Notamacropus eugenii: one gene and its partners. The protein of the gene in region 1 purifies or fractionates together with the protein of each later gene. This does not show direct contact. Links are inferred from orthologs where the notes say so. Each region holds a gene or a part of one and is shown on either strand. Other genes may lie near its edges.

Region 1 (7,363 bases):
AAAAGGTTGTGGTAGGCAAAACAATACAAAAACTGAGGTATTCATTAATAAATGGAAAGTAATTCTTACTGCTGAAATCCATTTTTTCTATCACAGCTAAACCAACTCTTAATAGAAGAAATTCAAGTGAGCCTGGGTAAGATCCGGGCAATTAGATCACAATCTGGAAAACATCCACCCACAAAAAGTCTTTTTGGAGATTTTTAACTTCCAATGGGTCTGAAAGTCTTGGCCCTATTCTATATTCTATAATTCTATAAAGAATTATAAACACTAATATAGTGATATACTGAGAAGCGGAATTGTTCTGGAATTACAAACATCTTAAATGTAGCTGTAATACTATCAACGTAACTTTGTACCATGTTACATAGTCACTAATGGTTAAGAACTTTATTTAATAGAAAAAAGTAATAAACAAATGTCATGGCCTGGCAACTGGCCTGACTTAAGCCCCATTAAAAATCTATGGGATGTAATCAAGGTCAGACTTGGAAAAACAGACTGTTCAGTAAAGGTACACTTAATATCAAATGTGATTAAGTGTGAATTAAAGTATGTGTCAAAATCTTGTGAACTCAGTCGCAAATCATGTAAAACAAATAAGAGCAGCAAAAAAGTAGATTACATATTAAAATTTTTAAAGATGTAAAAAGTTGTAACATATATGCTGTGTCAAATATATTTTCTATTTTAATTTTTCTAGTTAATTTACAAATCAATATAAGTACATATGAAACTGTCATAACCTATTTTCACATGGATATCTATGTAGGATGCAATATAGACCCAAGTCACTGAAAACTTTCTGGTAAGAAAGTTTTTGTCTTGAGTACATCTAGAGTGTCGTTATAAAAACGACTGTATTCCAACATCAAATCTTTTTTTAAAAATTGGTTAGTTTGAATAGTTCAGAATCATTATGTATTTTAAAACTTTATCTATAACTAAGTCCCATAATTACTGTATTTGACACTATCCACACACTACACATAAAAATTATATGAATCTTATGCTACACAGAAATCTGTTGTCTACCTAGAATCAACATTCTTTATATCTGTTAAACCAAAGAACAGAAAAGAAATGTAGAAGTATGTAAAAGCAAAAACTTCCTTACATTAAAAAATATCCTTATGCCAATATATTTAATCATTTTAATTATGCAAATTACGAAATGGTACACAGATAAAGGCAAGGTACTTTAAAGGAATAAACCAAACTTATGTTTATCAAAATTCATTTTATATTCATCAACCACACAGGGTAGATCCCCAGGACCAACTTTTGTGAAACCATGGATACTCAGGATAGCCAGGAATAGATGAATGGAGATCTGCATTACTGAAGTCCCAAAAGATGAGATCACAGATCTATATGAATAGTTATCAATAGTCAAATAAGGTCTACAGCTAATCAGAATACTTGTTGAACTGTTATTCCACATAGAACAAATAGAGGAGAAAAGCTAAGAACTGCATTAAGAGTTTTCAGTGAATGAAGTACATAGTTTTCAAATACAAAAATACTTCTAACAGATTTCTTTAAAATAAATTTGGACAAAATGGCACCAGATCATCTCAGCCTTCACTTTCCAATTCAACAAACGATAGAGCCAATTACAAGCTAACAGCACTACTTCCCCTTAGTCATAAAGCTGTAATGACATGTAAATGGCTACACTATTCATTATTACTTATAATCAGCTGCTTATGTATCAAATGAACTCTTTTGCAGAATCAGGAGTGTTCTTTAATATTGTTAGTGTAAAGTCAATTTTTAAGGTATATCTATTTTCTGATGAGTAAGGCAAGAATCAAGCAAGTCTGGCACCAGAGAATTCTGATGATCAAGGAAAGAATAAAGTGGAACCTCAAGTTGGCTAAGAGATAGACACCTACTACGGTGCTATTTATAACTATGGAATTTGAATGGAGACACTGACCTTTTCTTTTCTGTATATGAAATATATTCACTGACTTTGGGGGTAAAATGCTGAATTCCAAACAGGCTCCGGGTTTATGTCCATAAATTTAAAAGCCACATCTGAAAACTTTTGTGGGTCCATTATGATAAACATGTTCTCTGTCATCCAATTCTCCAGTTGCTAAACAGGTATTTAAGTTGCCACCTCAAAAGGCCAAGTTTGCTTTAACTTCAGGGAATTTAGAGTACCACAGACTACCTGACTTTAAAAGCCCAAACAGATTAAAAGATTAAGATTATTATTTTTTTAAAATCATCTCCTCCACCACCTGCCCTTGTTTCCATCCTCTCACTGCAGCCTACCTACCCATGTTTGCGGATTCATTTTAACAAGGAAAAGGGTCCACTGCTGAATAATTCCTGACTTCTCTGCACAGCTGAAGCAGCTTTCCCTTGCACGGACCCAGCACTTTCTCCAACCCCAAGGATATAAAAAGAAGCCAGCCCTGTATGGCCACAAAAGGGGAGCACGGGGGGCACCAAGGGCTCCTCTCTCTGCTACCTGCCATCCCCATCCGCAGGAGTCGGGGTCCTTCCTCCTAACTTCCACTCACCCCACACTCCACTTCGCTAAAAGGAGCCGTTTCCGACTGCACCTCGCAGAGGCCTGCACCCGCAGCTCCTCCCCAGGCCGGCTCCACGAGGGGGGGATTCCGCCGGCAGGACCGGGACCAGGGACACTTCTTTCTAAAATGGCAGGTTTCCTCCCCAACGTATACATGCACACCTATGTAATTATTATACACGCACACGCGGCCTCCCTCTCCCTTCGCCCTGTATGTCACTGCAAGTCCTAGCTGGGGAGCCCGGCCTAGGACGGGGGGAAGGAAGGCTTCAGTGCCCGGGAGAGGCCTGCGGCCGGGGCCGGGGGCAGAGAGGGGAGGGAGGCTCCGGACACTCACCGAGACGACGGCGGCCGATGTCGGCTCCTGCTCCCCGGCTTCCCGCAGTTACGGTCCCATCCGAGGGCCTCGGGCTCCAGCACCGCCCCGGCCGCCTCTCTCCGCCCCCGGCACTTCCCGGCTCCACTCACCGGCCACTGCGTCTCAGGCTCCAGAGACCAGCAAGGCGACAACCCCCCTCCCCGGCAAATACCGCAGTCCCCGGCCTCGGAGGATCAGTCAGGCGGCGGGGCGAGGCCGAGCTAGGCCGGGCGAGGCCGGGCGCGGCGGGGAGGGCGGCGGTGGCGGCGGCCTCTCCCCGGCGGCCGCGGCCCGGGGTCCCTCAGTCTCCGCGGCTCCCGGCTCCTTTCCGAGTAAGATTTTGTAAATCTCACAAAATGGCGCGCGCTCCAAACCTGCGCAATGAGAAGCGCCGGGGCCGGGGCGGCGGCGGCGGCGGCGGCGGCGGCGGCTTATCCGCCAGAAAAGTCCTAGCCGCCCGCCCCCCGAGAGATCCTCCTAGCACGGACACACACGCACACGCACACACACACGCACACACACGCGCGCACACACTCACATTCACACTAGTTCTCCTCTCTCCCCTTCTCTCACAGACACTCACCCACACTCACTCTCACGCTCACACACACTCGCACTCTCACACACACACTCGCACTCTCACACACTCACACACTCACACACACACCGGTCTCTCCCGCAGCAGCGGCGGCGGCGGCAGCAGCAGCAGGAACAGTAGTAGCAGGAACAGCAGCGCCCGTGGCACCCGCACCCCCAGCTCGAGGTGTCCGCTCCCCGCGCCGGCCTGGGCCTGATCCACCGCAGCCACCGCAGCAGCCTCCCGGATTCCCCCGCCGCAGTTGCCGCTACCGCCCCCACCTCACTCCCAGGGAGCTTTTTATTATTATTCGGGCGGGAAGCGAAAGGGTTTAAAAAAAAACCCTACCAACAAAATGGCGACTGACCGACCCGGTCGCTATGGCAACTGTCAATCAAACAGCAAAACCCCGGCTGACGTGCTGACGTCCTCCTCCTACCCCACTTCCCCAAACCGGCGGGCGGGGCCTGTCGCCGGGGTAACGGCGAATTCCGTTCCCTCCTTTTCCTGGCTGCCTCCCTTCCCCCCACCAACCACCCAACCCCCTTCGGTCACGTGAAGGATAAATTCGGCGCTGTTTTGCTGCCAAGTGTCAGAGGAGGGCGCGTGATTCACTCTGGGGAGGGGGCAGAAGGAAGGAAGGAGAAGAAGGGAAGGATGACTAGAGGTGTGATGGGGTGGGGAAAGCAGAGAAGGAGGGAGGAGGGAGCGGATCCCATTTTTGTATTTCTAAGTGCTGCATTTGTAGAGGGAGAAAGAGATTCTGGCTCCACGCGCGCGCAGACACGCGCACACACACGCACACACGCACACACACACACACACACACACACACACACACATCTAACACACATTCCCAAACCCCGCCCCAAACGAGGCTGGCCACCAGAAATCTGGAGAGCTGCCACCCACCGGACTAGAGTCTGGCGTCCTCCCCATAATGCACAGCAGCTTCGGGGAGGGCCCCACTGCAGGCACTGGGAGGCGGGGGTGGAGACGGGGAAGACTAGCTGAGCCTCCGGAGTCCGGTGCCCCGTGCCCCGTGCCCCTCCCTGGCGGCCCCGCCCGCCGCACTCACCTCCGAGAAGAGAAGCCATCCCCCGGGCCGGCCCTGGGCGCCCTAACCAAGAAGCGGGGCCGGGAGACCCGCGTTGGAGCCCGGAGTTCTGCAGTCTTCACGTGGAAGTGTCACGCCGACAGCAGCCTGAGGACCGGCGTCCAGGACGGGAAACCCCGTCCCCCAGAAGGGGGGCACGGGGGAACCCTGGGTTTTTTTCCTTTCTCGTCCACTTACCTGAGTATTTCGTGTGCCCCACTTGGTGAAAGCGAGCTGTCCCGGTATGCTTTTTTAAAGGCATATGACCCAGGAAGGGATGAAAGTCTCAACCTGGAGCTGGGCTCATAATTGGTGCCTTCTGCATAGTCAGATCTGAATAAAGCAAGCCAAGAATGCCCTTGCTTCTGACCACCCAGATTAATTCACTGACACAGTGTGTGTGTGTGTGTGTGTGTGTGTGTGTGTGTGTGTGTGTGTGTGTGTGTGTGTGTGTGTGTGTGTGTGTGTGTGTGTGTGTGTGTGTGTGTGTGTGTGTGTGTGTGTGTGTGTGGTGTGTGTTCGCAAGAGAAAACCTATCCCTCTCAGCGAGTCTACTTGCGGTTAAAATATCCACGGATACACTTACCTTTTCTTTAGCCAGCCATAGGATACAATTGTTTCAAAGCAAAGACATTTAAAAGTCACATGCCGAGTTACGATTTCAAGGTACAAAATATAGATACAGTATCATTGGGGAGAATGGACACGCGCACACACACACACACACAAGGGGAACGTGTAGAAGGTAACTTGAACCTCTCATGCTGCAGGACCATGAATTTCTCCTGTTGGCATGATTCAACAAGCATTTATTGAGCTCTTACTGTGTACCAGGCACTATGCTAAGCACTGGGGATACAAAGAAAGGTCAAAGACAGTCCCTGCTGTCAAGGAACTAAAGACAGTCTAATGGGGAAGACAAACAAGATGCAGACAAGAGAAACTGGAGATAATCCACAGAGATAAGACATTAACATTAAAGGGGATTGGAAAGGCCTTTTGCAGAAGATGGGATTTTGCCTGAGATTTGATGGAAGCCAGGGATGTTGGGCAGCAATAAGTAAAAAGAGTTCCACTCATGGGGGACAGCCAGTGAAAATGTGCAGTCAGGAGATGGAGTTCCAGCAACAGCAAAGTGTATCACAGAGTGCATGAAGGGATGTAAAGAGTAAAAGGACTGGAAAAGGAAGAATGAGCAGGTTATGGAGGGCTTTAAAAAGCCAGAGGATTTTGTAACTTGTTCCAGGAGACAAAAGGGAGTTAGTGTAGTTGATTGAATGGGGAGGGGATAGGATGATATGGACAAACTTGCTCTTTAGGAATATTAATTGGTTCTGGAAGATGGAGTCTTACTGCTTCTCTCACTGGACTTGTCACTCTCACCTCCTCTTGGTGGATTCTTGGTGGCCACCAACCGGTCATCTCAGCTGAAATTATCTTACCAGCTAACAAAAGCCAAGTTGAATACCTCCAGGTCTCTTTTCGAAACCTATGTATAAGTGGAGATCTCAACCTTCCATTAGCTAATCACTCTCTAACCTATCTGATTTAATATGCAAAAGAATTTGATCAGAAAAATGGTAAGCTAAGAAGGCAAGCCTTTCCACTCACTCCACTCCTGCCTTTACTGTCCACAGCTATCGGCTGTATTTTGATTGACTGAAAAATTTTGCTGTCTCCCTACATAAATGATTGCTGTGGTTGTTGTTATTAAGGCACTCAGTTGTGATGCCACAGACCATAGCACAACAGGCTCTTCTGTCTCCTAAAATCTATTCAAACTCATGTTCATTATTTCTATGATACTATCTACCTATCTCATTCTCTGTCATTCCCTTCTCTTTTTTTTGTCTTCAATCTTTCCCAACATCATGGTCTTTTCCAATGAGTCCCATCTTCTCATTGTGACCAAAGTATTTAAGCTTTAGCTTTTGTATTTGACCTTCCAATGAATAGGTTGAATTAATTTCTTTAAGTATTGACTGATTTGATCTCCTTGCTGTCCAAGGAACTTTCAAAAAGTGTATTCCAGCACCAAAATTCTAAAGTGTCAATTCTGTAGCACTCAGCTTTTCTTTTACTCCAGTTATCATAACCATACATTGCTAGTGGAAAAGCCATAGCTTTGACTACATGAACTTTTTTACTGGCAAGGTGATGTCTCTGCTTTTTAATATGGTGTCCAAATTTGCCATAACTTCCCTTCCAAGAAGCAAGTGTCTTTTAGTTTTATGGCTGCAGTCACCATCTGCAGTGATCTTTGAACTCAAGTGTATAAATTCTGACACTGCTTTCATTTCTTCTCCCTTTGTCAGAAATTGATGGGACCAGTTGTCAAGATCTTAGAATATTTGATGTTAAGGTTTAAACAAGCTTTTTACACTCTCTTCTTTCACTCTCATCAAGAAGCTTCTTAATTCTTCTTCACTTTCTGCCATCAGAGTGGCATCTGCATATCTGAGGCAGTCGATATTTTTTCTAGCAATCTTAATTCTGGCTTTTGATTCGTCCAACCTGGCATTTCTTATGATGTACTCTGCAAATAAGTTAAATAAGATAACATGAGTGTTAAAAATGATTGGATTCTAGGTATCAAAAAACTCTCCCTTTAGCCTTAGACCAAACTTTCTCATCTTTTCTTAGCCTTGAGCTTCCTTTTTAGATGTATATAATTAATTCAAGCAGGAAATGTCACTCAAGTATCTTTGCCAAGAAAACCCCACAAAAAAATAGGACATTACTAAAATGATCGAACAACAAATTAATTCAATATGTTAGGTT
Region 2 (7,504 bases), on another chromosome or scaffold:
ACCACCTCTTGCCATGTAACTTGGAAGATTTCAGCCAGCTTTTGTATGAGCAGTTGACTCCCTGCCTTGTAAATTTCAGTTAGAATCCAATCAACACCAGGCATTTTGCCATATGAAAGGCACCTAATGGCATTTAAAACTGTTTCATTTGGAAATTTGGCTAAAATGGCAAAACAGCATGGGTGATGTCTTTTTGGTATAAATTAAAGTGAGGCAGAGTTGCACATAATCATCATCCTTACTCTTCCAGAGTCATCGGAGTCCAGTGTCAAGACAAAATCAAGATGACTGATGATGACCTGAGATGCAATGGATGACTGTTGGCATCTGTAATGTCTCCATAGTGCCTGCTTTAGTAGCCATTGTGGCCATTGGAATAAATTGTTCTCCACTCATTCCACCTGGGAAATCTTCACATACTTGGGATAGTCACTCCCTAAGACCCCTTGGTCACTCAACATAGTTTAGCCATCTGCTGAAATGGTTTACTGAGCATGCTACAACTTCTTGGAACCACAGGTGAGAGGGGGATGAATCAAACAGACACCAAAGGTGGATGAGCAGCCCTCACTAGTCTTCTCTGAACACACCCTACCCCTCTTACACTTTTATTAAAAAAGATGTTTTGATTTTTTATTTTTAGCTTTCTGTGATTGCCACCTATGACCACCAGGTGTCAGTGGTGCCCCCAATACCATGATGCCAACATCTCCTGTCCTTGTTTCTTATCCTTAGGATAGAGAATGAGGGTGTCCACCCAAGCCCCTGACCTGGAGACCCTCTATCTTTGCTTCCCAGCAGCCCTTTGAATTAGAGCCAGGAAAATGGTATCAAGATGGGGGGGGGGGCCCAATCTGACCCTGTAAACTTGGCTTTTCCTGCTCTCCCTTTCCTGCCATCATCCCAGATCCCTTTCCCATCCTACCCAAAGTATGGAAAGCAGGGGTGGTACCAGGCCAGTATCCATGATCCTTTCAAGGGGCTGGGCTCAGCCATTAGAGTCTTATAGTACATTTATGTGTATCCATCTGTGTGTTTACATGCATATCTGCAGAGTGGCAATGGCTGGTAGTACTGGCTTGATGAATGTTAAGAGTAGATCAGGATGAAGCCCCACTCCTGTTAGCCTTGCTGTGTTGGGGGTGGAGGGAAAGGACTATTCTTGGGCAGTTTTCAGGGATAGGTAGAAAGTTTTGTTGTATAGTGGGATACAGCTCCTGGTTTCTCTGGGTCTCAGGCTGGATAGAGCTGAGACTTTTGTTTTAATAATTCCTAGCTTTGAGCTGGCCAGGATGAGAGACTTAGGCAGAGACTCTATAGTACAGCCAGTCCTCAAAACTGCACATCCCTGGGAAGGGGTGTATGATTAGCCTAGCCTATGTGAACAGTATGGATTCCTCAATGGACCTTCCTCAGGATGCCCTTTGTGGAGCTTGGAGGAATTGGTAAGTAAAATCCTGGGCCACCGGTGCTGCCTCACATTCAGAAAAACCCACGCGGTACAAACCAGAATGGCCAGGGAAAAGAAGCTACACAACCTCCCTTATCTCCCCTCCCCTCCTCAGCCCCACCCTTTAAACAAACACACACCTTAACAAACACCCTGTACCCATGCAAGAACAGATACATGTTCCTGGAACCTCAGATCTACAGTGGGGTTTTCTGCAACTCTCTCACTAAAACGTGAGGGTGGGCCCAGGCAGAACCTACTTCATCGGCCTCAGTTTACTCATTTTCCTATTCAACACACATATTAAAGGCCCTTGGAAATGGGGATGAAAACGACCCAATATACTCAAAATTAGCCTTCCAGTAGGGGATAGAGTCCAAAGCCCAGACCTGGGCTAGGTGGGGCCTGATGTAGTCTGGTGCGTGAGTTCAAGTGAGAACTTGATAACTGACGGTTATACTCTGAGCCCTGTGCTAGCAATCACTATCAAGGTTCCTGTTTTCTATGGCTTACGATCTGAAAAACCAGCTGAAGGGACTGGGGGAATGCTTGGCTAAGGAGCTTTTTGTAAGGCCCTGACCTCTGCAGCCGGCTTCCAGCCCTGGGCCCTGTGCTCTCAGTCCTAACGGGGCAGTGTAATAGCTTCAGCCCCTCAGGACCGCTTAGCCTGCTGCACTCCCTCCATTCCCATCCCGTTTCCTGCTTTGGCTAGTTGGGACTTCCAGGACTACGAGAGCGCGGGGTATCTAGTCCTACGAAAAGAGAATACTTAGGGAGGCCTCGCACGGACCCAGAGAAAAGGATGGTCTGGGCCCGGCCCGAGAACGAGGAGTTCTAGCCCTGCTTCACCAGGTCTGCGAAGCTGTTCATGCCGCCGCTTACCCACCCTACCCCCACACGGCCAACGCGGGTGAAATTCGAGTCCCTCTGGGTCACTACACCTTAAGGGGGGAGGGCCCGGAGGGCCGAAGACGCGCCAGACCAGGGTCTGAGCTTGGGGACACAAACAAGGCGGGCCAGCCCCCGCCCCGCCCGAGGGACCCAGGACGCCCAGTGGGAGGCGTCCGTGCGAGGGCACGTGGAGGCGGCAGGAAGCGGCCCGCCGTGGGTAGTTTTGCTTCTAGCAGCATGGGGGGGCGGGGCGCTGTGGGCCCAAACTAAAGTTTAAGGCCTGGGTGTTGGTGTCCTGGGATCTCGGTCTTCCTTCCGAGCAGGGCCTCTAGGGCCGCAAAGTCCTTCGGGGTCCGGGTCGCGGGGGCCAGGCGGGGCCCTCACTCGCCGCAGGCCCTCGGGTGCGGCTCCGCCGGCCCCGCCCCGCCCCTCCCCTCCCGCCTGGGCAGGCGATGGCAGCGGGCGGAGCAGCTGGGAGGCCTCAGCCGGGCGGAAGACTGAGCCAGAAGCTCGGGGCAGCCCTCGGTGAGTGCGGGCTCGGGGAGGGCTCCCTCCGAGGCAGGTCGGACTGGGCGGCAGGAGGGGAAGGCCGGCGCCTGCGGGCTGCAGGAGAGCACTGGCGGCCCGGCCCGGGCCGCGCCAACTAGTCCGGAGACCCACCTTCCCCAGCCGCCCCCCGCCCCCGGCGCGCCGAGAGAGCCAGCTCGCACAAAGAAAGCCGCGGGCGCCCCCCGAGCGTGCACCGGAAGCCTCGTGCGCTAGCCAAGACCCGACGGGTGGAGGGGGCGGGATAGGGCCGGGGGCGGAGCCTGGGAGATTTTGGCCCAGTTCTGGCTTCCCGGCCGGCCAGGCGGTAAACTGGGATCACGTGTCTCCGCGCGGACACGTGGGCGCCGGGCCGGGAGGGGGCGGGGTGTTGGCGAACCCGAAGGCCTGGCTCGGCCCCAGGAAGCCTAGTGGGGGCAAAGAGCTCCCCCCGCCCATCCGGGCCCGCGGCCTTCGAGAGGGAGCAGGGCTGTAGCGAGAAGCCGTCGGAGGATGGGGCAGTGATGGGCGGAAAGCCTGGTCTGTGTCCGAAGTGGCGAGGTTTTCGGAGCGGGAGGGCTTGGGGGCGTGGCTGGTCCCGACGGGGGCGGTGCCTTCGGGGCCGGGGCGGGGCTGTCTTCCCCTTTCGAGGGAAAAAAAGGAAAACAAGACTCTTTCCAGGGAGCTAAAAATAGCCCTGAGGTTGGGAAGGCCAAGACTGCCGGGGGACCGGGGCGGGGAGAACGGCCGTCCGACCGCCCTCCCCTCCCGGGCCGAGGGCCGAGGCCTGGAGGCCCGTCACGTGGTGGTGGTGGTGGTGGGGCGATGTGCCCGGGGCTGGGCCGCGGCCGTCGGTACACGGTCTCCTAATCTCGTCTTGCTTCGGCAGTTTGGGGAGTGGGGGGACCCTTCCCTTAGACGTCTCAAGCGGGGCAGGAACACAGGAAGAGGGGCCCCTGCATCGGCCCCTGTCCGGCCCTGGGTCACGCCAGCAACTGAGGCCCCCCTTGGGGTGTCGGGGTCGCTCGGGATCCTTCTCTCCCGCCCCCCTCCGCAGGAGAATGGGAAGGGGTGGGGGGCTCCGATGCTCGGGCCGGCCTGACCGGGCTGGGAAGGGGAGGAGCCGCAAGGCCTTTTGTGCTGGTACTCGGGCCAGCGGCCAGCCTTAGGCCCCTTGGGGCGGGGGAAGGCCGTGCTGACCCTCGCAGGCCGCCCCCCACCTCTGCATGCTCTCGTGCACACCCCGCGTGGCTTCGTGGGAAGGCGTGCTCCCCACTTCTAGACTCCGGACCTGTTTGGGGCCGCGTTTGACGTGCGTGAATCCCGCGCGAGCAACAGCGCGCATCCGTGCTTACATGTGCACGTCTGTGTGCTTACAGAACACGGGTGACGTGGGCTGCGCGCGTGTCGGAGCCCAGGCGCTGGGGGCGGGGCTACCTCCCCCTTCCCCGGGCTCTGCCCCTCCCTTGCTTGGGTCAGGGAGGGGGAGGGGACGGGAGCCGGGGGGAGGGGAGGCGGAGCCCCGGTCAAGCTCTCGGGGCGTCCGAGGATCCGGGCTGCAGCGAGGGCTCCGAGGGAGCCTCCGGGGTGTGAGCATGGAGCAGCGCGGCGGAGGTGAGGGGGGCAGGCGCGGGGAGGGATGCCGCGGCGCCCCCGGAGTTAGGAGCAGCCGAGGCCCTTCGTTAGCAGACTCCGTGCTAGTCGGGGGGCGCAGAGAGGAGCCTCCCGCTCGGTGTCCGGGGGTTGGATTCCGCTCCCCCACGCTCGCCCCGCAGCCCCGCGGGTTTGGGAGGCAGCTTCCTGAACTCCAGACCCCCAGGGTGGGGGTGGGGGGCGGCGGCGCCGGCAGCTGGAGCGCGCCCAGCCTGGCCCTGGCCCCGAAGTCCGACCTGGGGGTGGGGGTGGGGGAGGGGAGCCGAGGGGCCCCTTCCCCCCGAGCAGACACAGACGCTGCTCAAAATGGAGCCTCCGATAGCCCCTCCCTCCAGCTTGGAAGGAGAGAGCGGGAGCCCGGCCCCCCCAGGCTCCGGCCTAGTCTGGACTTCCAGACTCCGGCTGCCCTGCTCGTCTCCGCCCCCTCTCCCCCTTCCACTTCTGCCAGCTTTCCGCGTCTCCCTGCCTCCCTCCCACCCAGCGCTCCGCACTTTCCTTGTGCTCACAAGGAGGCAGATGGGGAAAACTAGTCCGCCTAGTGACCCCTTAAGACAGCCACCCACCCACCATTGTGGGGGGGGGGGGCGGATCCACTCCTCTGTGCCTGGTAACCTTAAGGGTGGCATATCATCTTCTTAAAACCCCCCCACCCCCAGGAGGTGTCCGGGGCCTGAGCTGTGGTGCATCAGGCTCTCTGGTCTTCAGCTGCAGCTGGAGGGAACCTGATGCTCTCACAGAGACTTCACCAGCCCACTGTCGTGTTTTCATTTGGGGAGGGAGGGGCTGAGGTAAGGAAGAGAGAAGTGGAGTTGAAGGGCCTCCAGGAGTTCAGGTTCACCTTATACTAGATATCTGTCTCAATGCCTTTCCAGTTCTTGAGATAGTTTGATTCTGAAAATGGGGAGAGGACAGGTTTAAAAAGGGGGGGGAGTGGATTTGTATGTGGCCTTCACTGAGCGGGGAATGGGAAAAAACGTACTTCATGTGTGAATTCATACATATACAGCTTCAGTGCTTTGTGTTGAGAGCACACACACACGCACACACTCTTTCGTTTATCTCCAGATCATGTCCTGATGGCTTGAACAGATGTCTAAAACCCTTGGAGGGCTCAGGAAGGGCTGGGGTTCCAGATGGGCACTTCCTCTTCCCAACCTAAGAAGGAGATGAAGCTGAGGGTCAAGGGTCACCAGACCCTCCTCGGTTTAGCTCCAGCTAGATCCTGGGAACATTTGGAGGGGGAGAGTTAGAGCCTGTGTTTTTAAGAACTCTCTACAGGTCATAGCTGACAAGTCTTCCTTACTGGGGTTGTCTCTGTTCCTTAGGACTAATCTGATGGTGAGAGGTTTAGTAGGTGATATTGGGGATAGGGCAGGGTTTGTCATGGAAACTCTGTGTCCCTGGTGAGCTAGGAAGGGGTTCATTAAACCCTCAAATTTTCTTTGGGGGCAGAGACATCTAGGGTGGTTAAGAGTTAAATGTTTTAGGGTTCAGTCTAGCCCAACTTCTTGAAAACTGGGGGTAGGTGGTTTTTATGGGGAGGCAAATGACCACTGATTAATTTGGGGAGCAGTGCATTGACTGGTATGATTTGAGGAGGAAGGGCACAGGCAGCTCTCCGTTCCCTAATTACCATCTGGGAACAGGGATAGTATGTGTGTGGTGTCTCTCTTGCAGTGGGTAGTGAGTTTTCCCTTCCTAAGGGCTGAGCCAGAGAGACCTGCCTACCTCAGAGGGGACAAGAGCCCTAGACCTTAGTGTAGGGGCTCAGCAAGACCTGAAACCTCGGACTGGGGTTTCTGCCCTACCTGGAGGCCCCAGACTCATCTGACCAGTTGGGCCGGCTTGGCCACTTCTCTCCCCCTATCTGGCCCTTGCTCTTGACACCTTTTCCAGCCTCTCTGTACTCTTCCTCCCCTTCTGTTCTCCCATCCTCCTTCCAAGAGAAGCCTATTTCCCATAAAGTTTAAATCTATCTCAGACCCTTGGCCCCTATTGAGATAGAAGGGAGCTCTAGAGACATGAGAAGTCATGACCTTTCCCTTTAGCCTTAACAAGGAGCAAGGAACTAGACATGTCCATCTGTTTGTATGTGTGTATATGTTGGGAGGTAAGTTTTCAGGGTTTGGAAGCAGGGCTTAATAGGACACAGGACAGGCTTAGGATGAGGAGGCTTAGAATTGGGGCTGTTTGGTGGTGGCTGGGGCTTAGGGTCAAGGGCATAGAGAAGAACTGGGGATGGGGAGTTGGCAGAGGAATTTTGGGTGGGTACTGTTTCAACAGTGGGTTATAGTGGGAAGTAGAGGTCTGGCAGAGAGGCTTAGGAATGGGAAGCTTTGACCATGGCCTTCTTCCTTGCACAGCAGGTTGCCTTCAAGGCCTGTGGCCAGGCCACAGTCCTTCCAACCATGGCAATCGTCCAGACTCTGCCCGTGCCCCTGGAAGCTACCCCTGAGAGCACAGTCTCACACCCACCCCACCTGCCCACCATGGGCAGTGTGAGCAGCCTTATTTCAGGCAGGCCCTGCCCTGGAGGAGGGCCTGCCCCCTCGGGACCTCCCTTCTTCCGGCAACAGGATGGTCTACTACTTCGAGGGGGTGGTTGTAGGGCCCAGGAGCCACTGTGCCCCCCAGTACCCACCAGAAAGCCTGTGGGAAATGCTGGCTTCACATACATCAATGAGGACTTTCGGGGAGATTCACCCTCCAGCCCCTGTAGTGACACTGAGGATTCCCGAGAGCAGCAAGCCCGAAGCGCCCATCTCAGGGGCCCACCTCCAAAGCTCATCCCTGTGTCTGGAAAGTTGGAGAAGGTAAGAATGGGACCCTTCCTTTCAAATCCAAATGACTTTTCACAATGTTCAATGAAAGGAGGAGGTGGGATGGGATATAGTACCTTTGATGATTAGCTCTGCTTCCTCGACCAAGGGATTGTCAGGATATAGATAAAGGGAGCACATAGGACTTGGGAGAGGGTACCTCCTA
Region 3 (7,257 bases), on another chromosome or scaffold:
CCCTAAAATACAGGCTTCTCAAGCTTCTGTGAGGTTGCTCTGTTCCTTATACCTGGAACGTGCTTCCTGCCTCAGGCTGGAGAATTTCTATGTATCTTTTAAAGACGTTCTTGGTGTTCAAATGAATTACCTCTCTATTTAGTCCTTACTCAGCACTGTTTTGTATTGTTTATTACCTTATCTGTGCTTGTACTATACTATTAGACTATAAACACTATAAGGGCAAGATCCAGGTCTGACTTTTTATGTTACCTAGCAACTGGTACAATGCTATGTACACTACAGGCTCTTTATAGGATCAGAGGATTCAGAATTGTAAGACATCATTAATATAACCCCCTCATTTTGGAGAATAAACCATAAGTGGCAGAGTCAGTATATCAGCCCAGGTCTTTTGACTTTAAATCCCCAAAACTTCTTCTCTGGGCCTCAGCTTCCTTATCTTAAAAAAGAGAATAACACTTGCAGTGCTTCCTGTGGACTTTTTTTAGGTGAGGCTTGATTTTCATTCTGACAAAAAATGAGGGAGGAAAGGGGAGGATAAGCCATAATAAAAGCTAATAGTAATTAGAAGCACTGGAGACAATATAGGGTAAGGAAATTAAATTAGTACTGGACTTTAGAAGACCTGAGTCCTGCTTCTGATGCTCACTTACTGTGTGTACATTCTCTCCAATCACACAGTCACCACTGTAGCTACAGGTCCTCATCATCTCTCACCTGACTATTGCAATAGCCTTCTAATTGGCCTCCTTCTTCCATTCCAGCCTCCACTTAGCTGCCAAAAGTGACTTTCCTAAAGCAAAAATGCATAACCATGTCATAAATACCCTCTACTCAATAAATTTCAGTGGTTCCCTCTTATCTTTGAATCAAAGTTAAAGTCCTTGGTTTGGTTATCATAGCACTTTACAACCTGATTCCTTCCTATCTGTCCAGTCTTCTTAAATTTTCCTGTTCTCCTTTCTATGGTCCATCTGCACTGGCCTATTTACATTTCCTTGAACGGGACTCCTGGTCTCCTGACTTTGTGCCTTTTTTCTGACTGTTTCCCATGTCTTCGCCTCTGCTTCTTAGCTTTCCTGTCTTCCTTCAAGACTCAGTTTAAACCCCAGTTTTTGTAGGAGGCCTTACCTAACCCCCGCAGCACTACTTCCTTTCGAGATAACATTTCATTTACTTTATTTCTATCCAGTATATATGGAATGATTTGCATGTCATCCCCCTCATTAAAATGTGAGCTCCTTGAGTGAAGGGACCTTGTTTTCTCCTTCATTTGTACCCCCCGTGCTTTAGCATAGTGTTGGACACAAAGTGAGTGCTTAACTTGTTAACCTGTGCTGACTGAGCACTAGCAAGTCTCTTCACCACTGTTTTCTTCTCTCTAAAATGAAAAAACTATCTGTACTACCTACTTCAAAAGGCCGTGAAGAAAGCATTTTGTTGTGTTATTAGCACTCAAAACTAGGACAACTATACAAGAAAAGTACATACAATAAGCAAGAGTCATTGAAAGAGAGTAAATTTGACTCAGGAGTCAAAAGATCTGCATTCTACAGTTCCTTCACTAATTCTTTATATGACTCCTCACTGGCTCTCTCAAGGCCTCAGTTCCTCCCTGTCTCAGTAAAATAAGCAACTGCTGTTAACTGAGAAATACCAAAAAGCATTACTGTTAATGTATGGATGAGTTTTGTATGACTGTAAAATTTGGGAGCTGGAAGGGACCTTAAAGATCCTCCTATTCCAACCTCCTTCGTTTTACAAATATGGAAACTGAGGCCTGGAGGAAGCACCTTACACCTAGGAGGCACTTATAAATGTTTAGGTGAACAAGAACTGACTGAAGGGACCCACAGGTAGTAAAAGAACCGGGATTCCTACAAAAGTCCTTCTGACTCCAGGATCCACGGGTCTTTTGACGGCATGAAGCTGCTTCTCTGAAAAAAAGCCTCCTCCAAGGTTCCCCATCATCTGGGTGCTGAAAAAGGCCTGGAATCCAAACGTCTTCGCTGCTCGGCACCCACCGCACCCCTCCTCCCCCACTGCAGGAACGCAGTTCGGGGGCTCGGGGGATGGGATGAGAGCTAGAGGCACCGAGGGCAGGCCTGGGGAGGCTTTCCTGAGGGCCTCCCGGCTCTGGGTTAGAATGCTGGAATGCCCCCTAGGAATCAGAGGACTCTTGAAGATCATCCAGTCCCAACTCTCATCCTACACAGAGAAACTTGAGCAGAGTCACAGGGCGGATTAACACTCCCGACTCCGAACCCACTGGAGGGTCCCCTGGGCTCGGCTCTTCCCAGGGCCGGGGAGGCTTCCCGGAGGCGGCGGCGCCGGCAGGCTCGGAAGGAAGCGCTCCAGCGAGTGGAGACGCTCGCCGCCCGCGGCGCATCCTTCCTGCGGACCGGGGCTGCTCCGTCCCCTCGGGCCCCCACCTCCACCCCCTGCTTACCTGACAGAGCCCCGGGCAGGCCGGGCTCCCTCGTCCCACAAGCCCGCCGCGGGGAGGCCGCTGCGGCCACACAGCCGTTCCCCGAGCGTTCGCCCGCCCGCTCCGCTCAGCAGCCGCGGGGAAAGGCAGCGGCAGCGGCTCCGGCTCTCCCCAACGTAGACCCCACGGCAGCTGCAGCCATCTTGGCACATCCGGCTCCGGTTGCCTCGGCCGCCGCCGCCGCCGACGTGTCCGACCCTTACGTCACAGCGTGACCCCGCTTCGTCCCGCCCCTGACGCTGGCGTCCCAGCCTTCGCGGAAGTGGGGGGGGGGTGTGATTTCTTGCCGGGGGGAAAAACTCTCTAAGTTCTATCTGCAAAGTGAAGTGCGTGGAAGAGCAAGATTCCTTACCCGCAGATCAATCAAGAAATATCTCTCCCGTGCCCTTCGCCGGGGAGGCTCGGCTATTTCCGTCAATTACGGAGCGAATCGAAGTTGGAGAGGGTTTTGAATGCGCGTGCGCCGTAGTTTTTCCCGTCGAAACCCGAGGAACTTCTGAGGTAGGAAACGGTGGCCGAATTTTTGACACATGCGCAGAACTTCCAGCGTCCCACTCAATAACACTCGAAGGTTTCTGAAAATCGGAACACTCCGGGTTACTTAGACAAGCCTGTTAGACAAGCTCCGTTCGTATTCGGTGTTCACAAGTTCGAATCCCACTCTCGGGGAAATTAGTTTATATTCATTGGATCATAGATCTGGAGCTTTAAGAGATCTCGGAAACCTCTACTCCAAACCCTTATTTTAGAGGTGAGGAAACTGAGGAATTTAATTGAAGGGCTTTGCTCAGTGTCGCAGAAGTAGGCAGAGGTCTTCTGACTCCAAAGGCAATGCCTCTTTGCCTCTGGGATGAGTTTAAGGACAGGGATAGTGAGAACAGATGAAAGGCTGTCAAAATAAAATCTGTCCTTGACTTTTGTCAAAACATCCCAGCGATGCCTTCCTTCTGTCTGCCTTGGCTTTATGATGTTGGATTTAAGAGTGGATGAAGCCATGTGACCTTGGTCTGGTCCTTTATTCTCTCTTGGCCACTGTAACCTCATCTGTAAAATGAGGGAGTTGGATTAAATGACCTCAGAGGTGCCATGGTCTAGAAAATAGAGATTAAGAAAGGCAGGGTAGACTTTATCATACCTTTACTGTTGGAATTTTAGAAGAGGGAACAGTTTTGCAAGCTTGCCCTCAGTAAGCGGTTGCATCACCCACCAAACGTTACATGCTAGTAATGCTGTTTGGTTTTTTCTTAAGCTGGTTGGCAGAGTGCCTTCTACATTGCAAAAGTGACTCAGAGACCTTGACTGTCATAAGACTTTAAGTGAAAAAAATTGTTTTGTCATTTGTTCCCGCCCCTACCCTTTTGAATTAGCATGATCAAACAGAGTTACTTCACTTTGTTGGGATCTTAAAAAGGGTTTTTTTGTTTGTTTTTGGAAAGTTTAAACAGATCTAGTATAGCAAACAGTCATCTCTGGTAAGTTAACATTTACATTAAGGGACCTTTTCCACTTTAATTCAACAAGTCTATTTGATCAGGGTGGTGCCCCAAACCTGGAGCCAGGTGGCATGAAAACATAGATAAAAATCAATACCTCTTTTGTCATAATTTGAGTGAGGTAGATAGTGTATTATTATTCCCATTTTACAGATGGGGAAATGAAGGCCCAGAGTGATAGGGCTTACCCAAAGTCAAAAAGTCAGTAAGTGTGCCAGCACTTGAACACAAGTCTCTTTACTCTTTGCCCAGCCTACTCTTTCTACTATCCCAGACTTCTGCTCAGAGGATGTTATAATCTTGCAAGAAAGACAAGGCTAACATTCATAGAACAATTAGATGACAATATGAAACAAAATGTGTTGTGCTGGCCAAATGCAACAGAAAGCTATAACCAATGGTGCATCACAACTACTCAGTGCTGATGGAGCCACATTGATTAGTGATAAGGACATGATCCTAGAGAGATGGACTGAACACTTCCATAGTATTCTCAACAGACCATCATCAGTCAATGCTGAGGCCATTGACCATTTACCTCAGGTTGAAGTTAATCCCTCCTTAGCTGAATTTTCAAATGAAGAAGATGTTTTGAGGGCCGTTAGGCTTCTTTCATGTGACAAAGTTCCTGGTGCTGATTCTGTTCTACCTGAGATTTACAAGGTAAGGGAACCATTGCTCACGCAAAAGCTGACTGAAATTTTCCAAGTTATATGGGAAGAGGAGGTTATGTCCCAGGAGTTCAAGGATGTCTCCATTGTCTATCTCTGTAAAGGTAAAGAGAATAGATTATCCTGTGACAGTAACGGGGGGGTCTCTCTCTTAGTCATTGCTGGCAAAATTCTTGCTAGAGTCGTCCTTAATAGGCTAATGTTTCACCTGGAAGATGGTCATATACCTGAGAGTCCATGTGGCTTCAGAAAGGGCCAAGGAGCTGTAGATATGGTGTTTGCTGCCCAACAACTCCAGGAGAAATACAGGAGCAGAACAGAAGTCTGTACACAATGTTTGTAGATCTGACCAAGGCCTTTGACACTGTTAATCATGAAGGCTTATGAAAAGTTATGTCAAAATTTGGTTGCCTGGAGAAGTTCATCAGTATTGTACGTCAATTTCATGATGGCATGTTTGCCTGGGTTATGGATAGTGGACAGTGCTCTTGTGCCTTCCCAGTCACCAACGAAGTGAAACAGGGCTGTGTGCTTGCTCCCATGCTTTTTAGCATGATGTTTTTAGCCATGTTGTCAAATGCTTTCAATGAGGTTGAACATGGTATCAAGATCAACTACCATACTGATGGTAAGTTCATCAATTTGAAAAGGCTACAAGCCAAGACTAAAGTAGAGGGAGTGTTGGTGCATGATTTTCTGTTTGCAGATGATTGTGCACTGAATGCAGCCTCTGAAGCTGAGATACAACAAAATATGGATCAATTCTCTGCTGTCTGTGCTAATTTTGGTCTAATAATTAACACCAAGAAAACACAGGTGCTTCATTAGCCATCACTACACCATCCATATGTGGAACCTTTGGTTACAACAAATGGAGAAGTTTTGAATGCTGTGGATAAGTTCACTTTCCTTGGTAGTGTACTTTCCAGGGATGTACACATTGACAATGAGGTTGATGCATGCATTGCCAGAGCTAGCTCAGTGTCTGGGAGTCTCAGAAGGAAAGTTTGAGAGAGAAGAGATATTAGATTGACTACCAAACTGAAGGTCTACAGAGCCATTGTGCTGACCTCATTGTTGTATGCCTGTGAAACATGGACAGTCTACCAGTACCATACCAGGAAACTGAATCACTTCCATTTGAACTGTCTTAGGAAGATTCTGAGGATCCCCTGGCAGGATAAGGTACCAGACACTGAAGTCTTTGCTTGAACTGAACTGCCAAGTATTCAAACTATGCTTCAGAGAGCACAACTCTGATGGGCTGGCCACGTTGTTAGAATGCAAATGTACACTTGCCAAAAAGGCTATTTTATGGAGAACTTGTATGGGGCAGGTGATCACATGGTGGCCAGAAGAAATGGTACAAGGAGACTCTCAAGTACTTTGGATTTGACTGTGCAACATGGGAGACACTGGCACAGGACCGCTCAGCATGGCATGCCTACATCAGAAAGGGTGCTGTGCTCTATGAACAAAGCAGAATTAAAATAGCACAAAGTAAATGTAGTATGCACAAATTTGGAGTATCCACTCCAAATATCCACACGGACTATCTGTGCCCAGCCTGTGGTAGAGCATTCCGAGGTCGTATTAGTCTGATCAGCCACAGTCAGACACACTGAAATTTCATTTTATCATGGTGATGTCATTTTAATCCTCTTTGAGAACGAAGAACAGAAGGACAACAACCAGTAGGGGAAACAGAAGTACTCTATCAGTTCAGAGAGGAGAGGAGGAAATGTAAAGAGAAGCCTTCTTGGAGTCCTTGAAGGTCATGTCAGTTATCAGGAGGTGGCAAACAAAGGTAGAGAATTGATTTTGTTTCCTGGTAAAAGTTTCAAGCTTTTGCACAGAATAAAAAAATTCTTTGTTTGAAAGGGGACTCCACCTAGTTGCAGATCATCCCCAGATATGAGAGTATCTCCTATTGCAATAGCCTTCTGGTTGGTCTTCCTGCCTCAAGTCTCTTCCAACTTCAGTCCAGCCTCTGCTCATTTATTAAATTGATCTTCCTCAAGTCTGACCTCTCCTCCATTACCCCATTTACTAAACTCAAGTGACACCCTGTTTCTTCCAAGATCAAATATAAAATCCTGTTTGATTCTTAAAACCTTTCATAACATGCCCCTTTCCTACCTTCCCAGTCTTCTTACTCCTTACCCTTCTCCATGTACTCTGTCATCCATGGACACTTACTTCCTTGATGTTCCTCACCATTGCCACTGAACATTTTTATTGGCTGCCCTTAGAAAGCTCTCCCTCATCTCTTCCTCCTAACTTTCTGCCTTTCTTCAAGCCTCAACTAAAGCCCTCCCTTCTGCAAAAAGCCTTTCCTAGCCTTCCTTAATCTTTGTGTCTTTCATCTGAGACTGACCCCAATTTATTCTGTATATATCTTTTTTGTACATAGTAAGGGGTGATTTTTTGTTTTTTTTCAGGAGTGGAGAGGTGTCATGGGTAGAAGTGGAGAGTTTTCCTTTCTTTGTATCCCCAGGGTTAATAATAATAGCTAATATGTGGCATCTTTTATGTTCCAGGCACTGTGCTAAGAGCTTTACAATTATTGTTTCATCTCATCCTCACAACAACCTGAGAGGTA

What was found. Proteins that work in one complex are often made in the same cells at the same time.
Region 2: the proteins of DYRK1A (region 1) and LZTS2 purify together in Homo sapiens (affinity purification with mass spectrometry; 8 studies listed by BioGRID and IntAct, counting the BioPlex papers as one, with this or other methods). This does not show direct contact. The link is inferred for Notamacropus eugenii from reciprocal best matches to the Homo sapiens genes DYRK1A and LZTS2.
Region 3: the proteins of DYRK1A (region 1) and SEC16A purify together in Homo sapiens (affinity purification with mass spectrometry, with the first as the bait; 3 studies listed by BioGRID). This does not show direct contact. The link is inferred for Notamacropus eugenii from reciprocal best matches to the Homo sapiens genes DYRK1A and SEC16A.

Annotation. Positions count from the first base shown.
Region 1 is NC_092876.1:420,706,014-420,713,376, reverse strand, and holds the start of DYRK1A (dual specificity tyrosine-phosphorylation-regulated kinase 1A), read right to left. Parts: upstream 3,019-7,363; 5' UTR 2,889-3,018; intron 1-2,888. UniProt on the Homo sapiens protein: Dual-specificity kinase which possesses both serine/threonine and tyrosine kinase activities. Exhibits a substrate preference for proline at position P+1 and arginine at position P-3.
Region 2 is NC_092872.1:178,969,964-178,977,467, forward strand, and holds the start of LZTS2 (leucine zipper putative tumor suppressor 2), read left to right. Parts: upstream 1-4,503; 5' UTR 4,504-6,861; coding exon 6,862-7,332; intron 7,333-7,504. UniProt on the Homo sapiens protein: Negative regulator of katanin-mediated microtubule severing and release from the centrosome. Required for central spindle formation and the completion of cytokinesis.
Region 3 is NC_092872.1:489,635,390-489,642,646, reverse strand, and holds the start of SEC16A (protein transport protein Sec16A), read right to left. Parts: upstream 3,002-7,257; 5' UTR 2,844-3,001; intron 2,591-2,843; exon of another isoform or gene 2,453-2,590; intron 1-2,452. UniProt on the Homo sapiens protein: Acts as a molecular scaffold that plays a key role in the organization of the endoplasmic reticulum exit sites (ERES), also known as transitional endoplasmic reticulum (tER).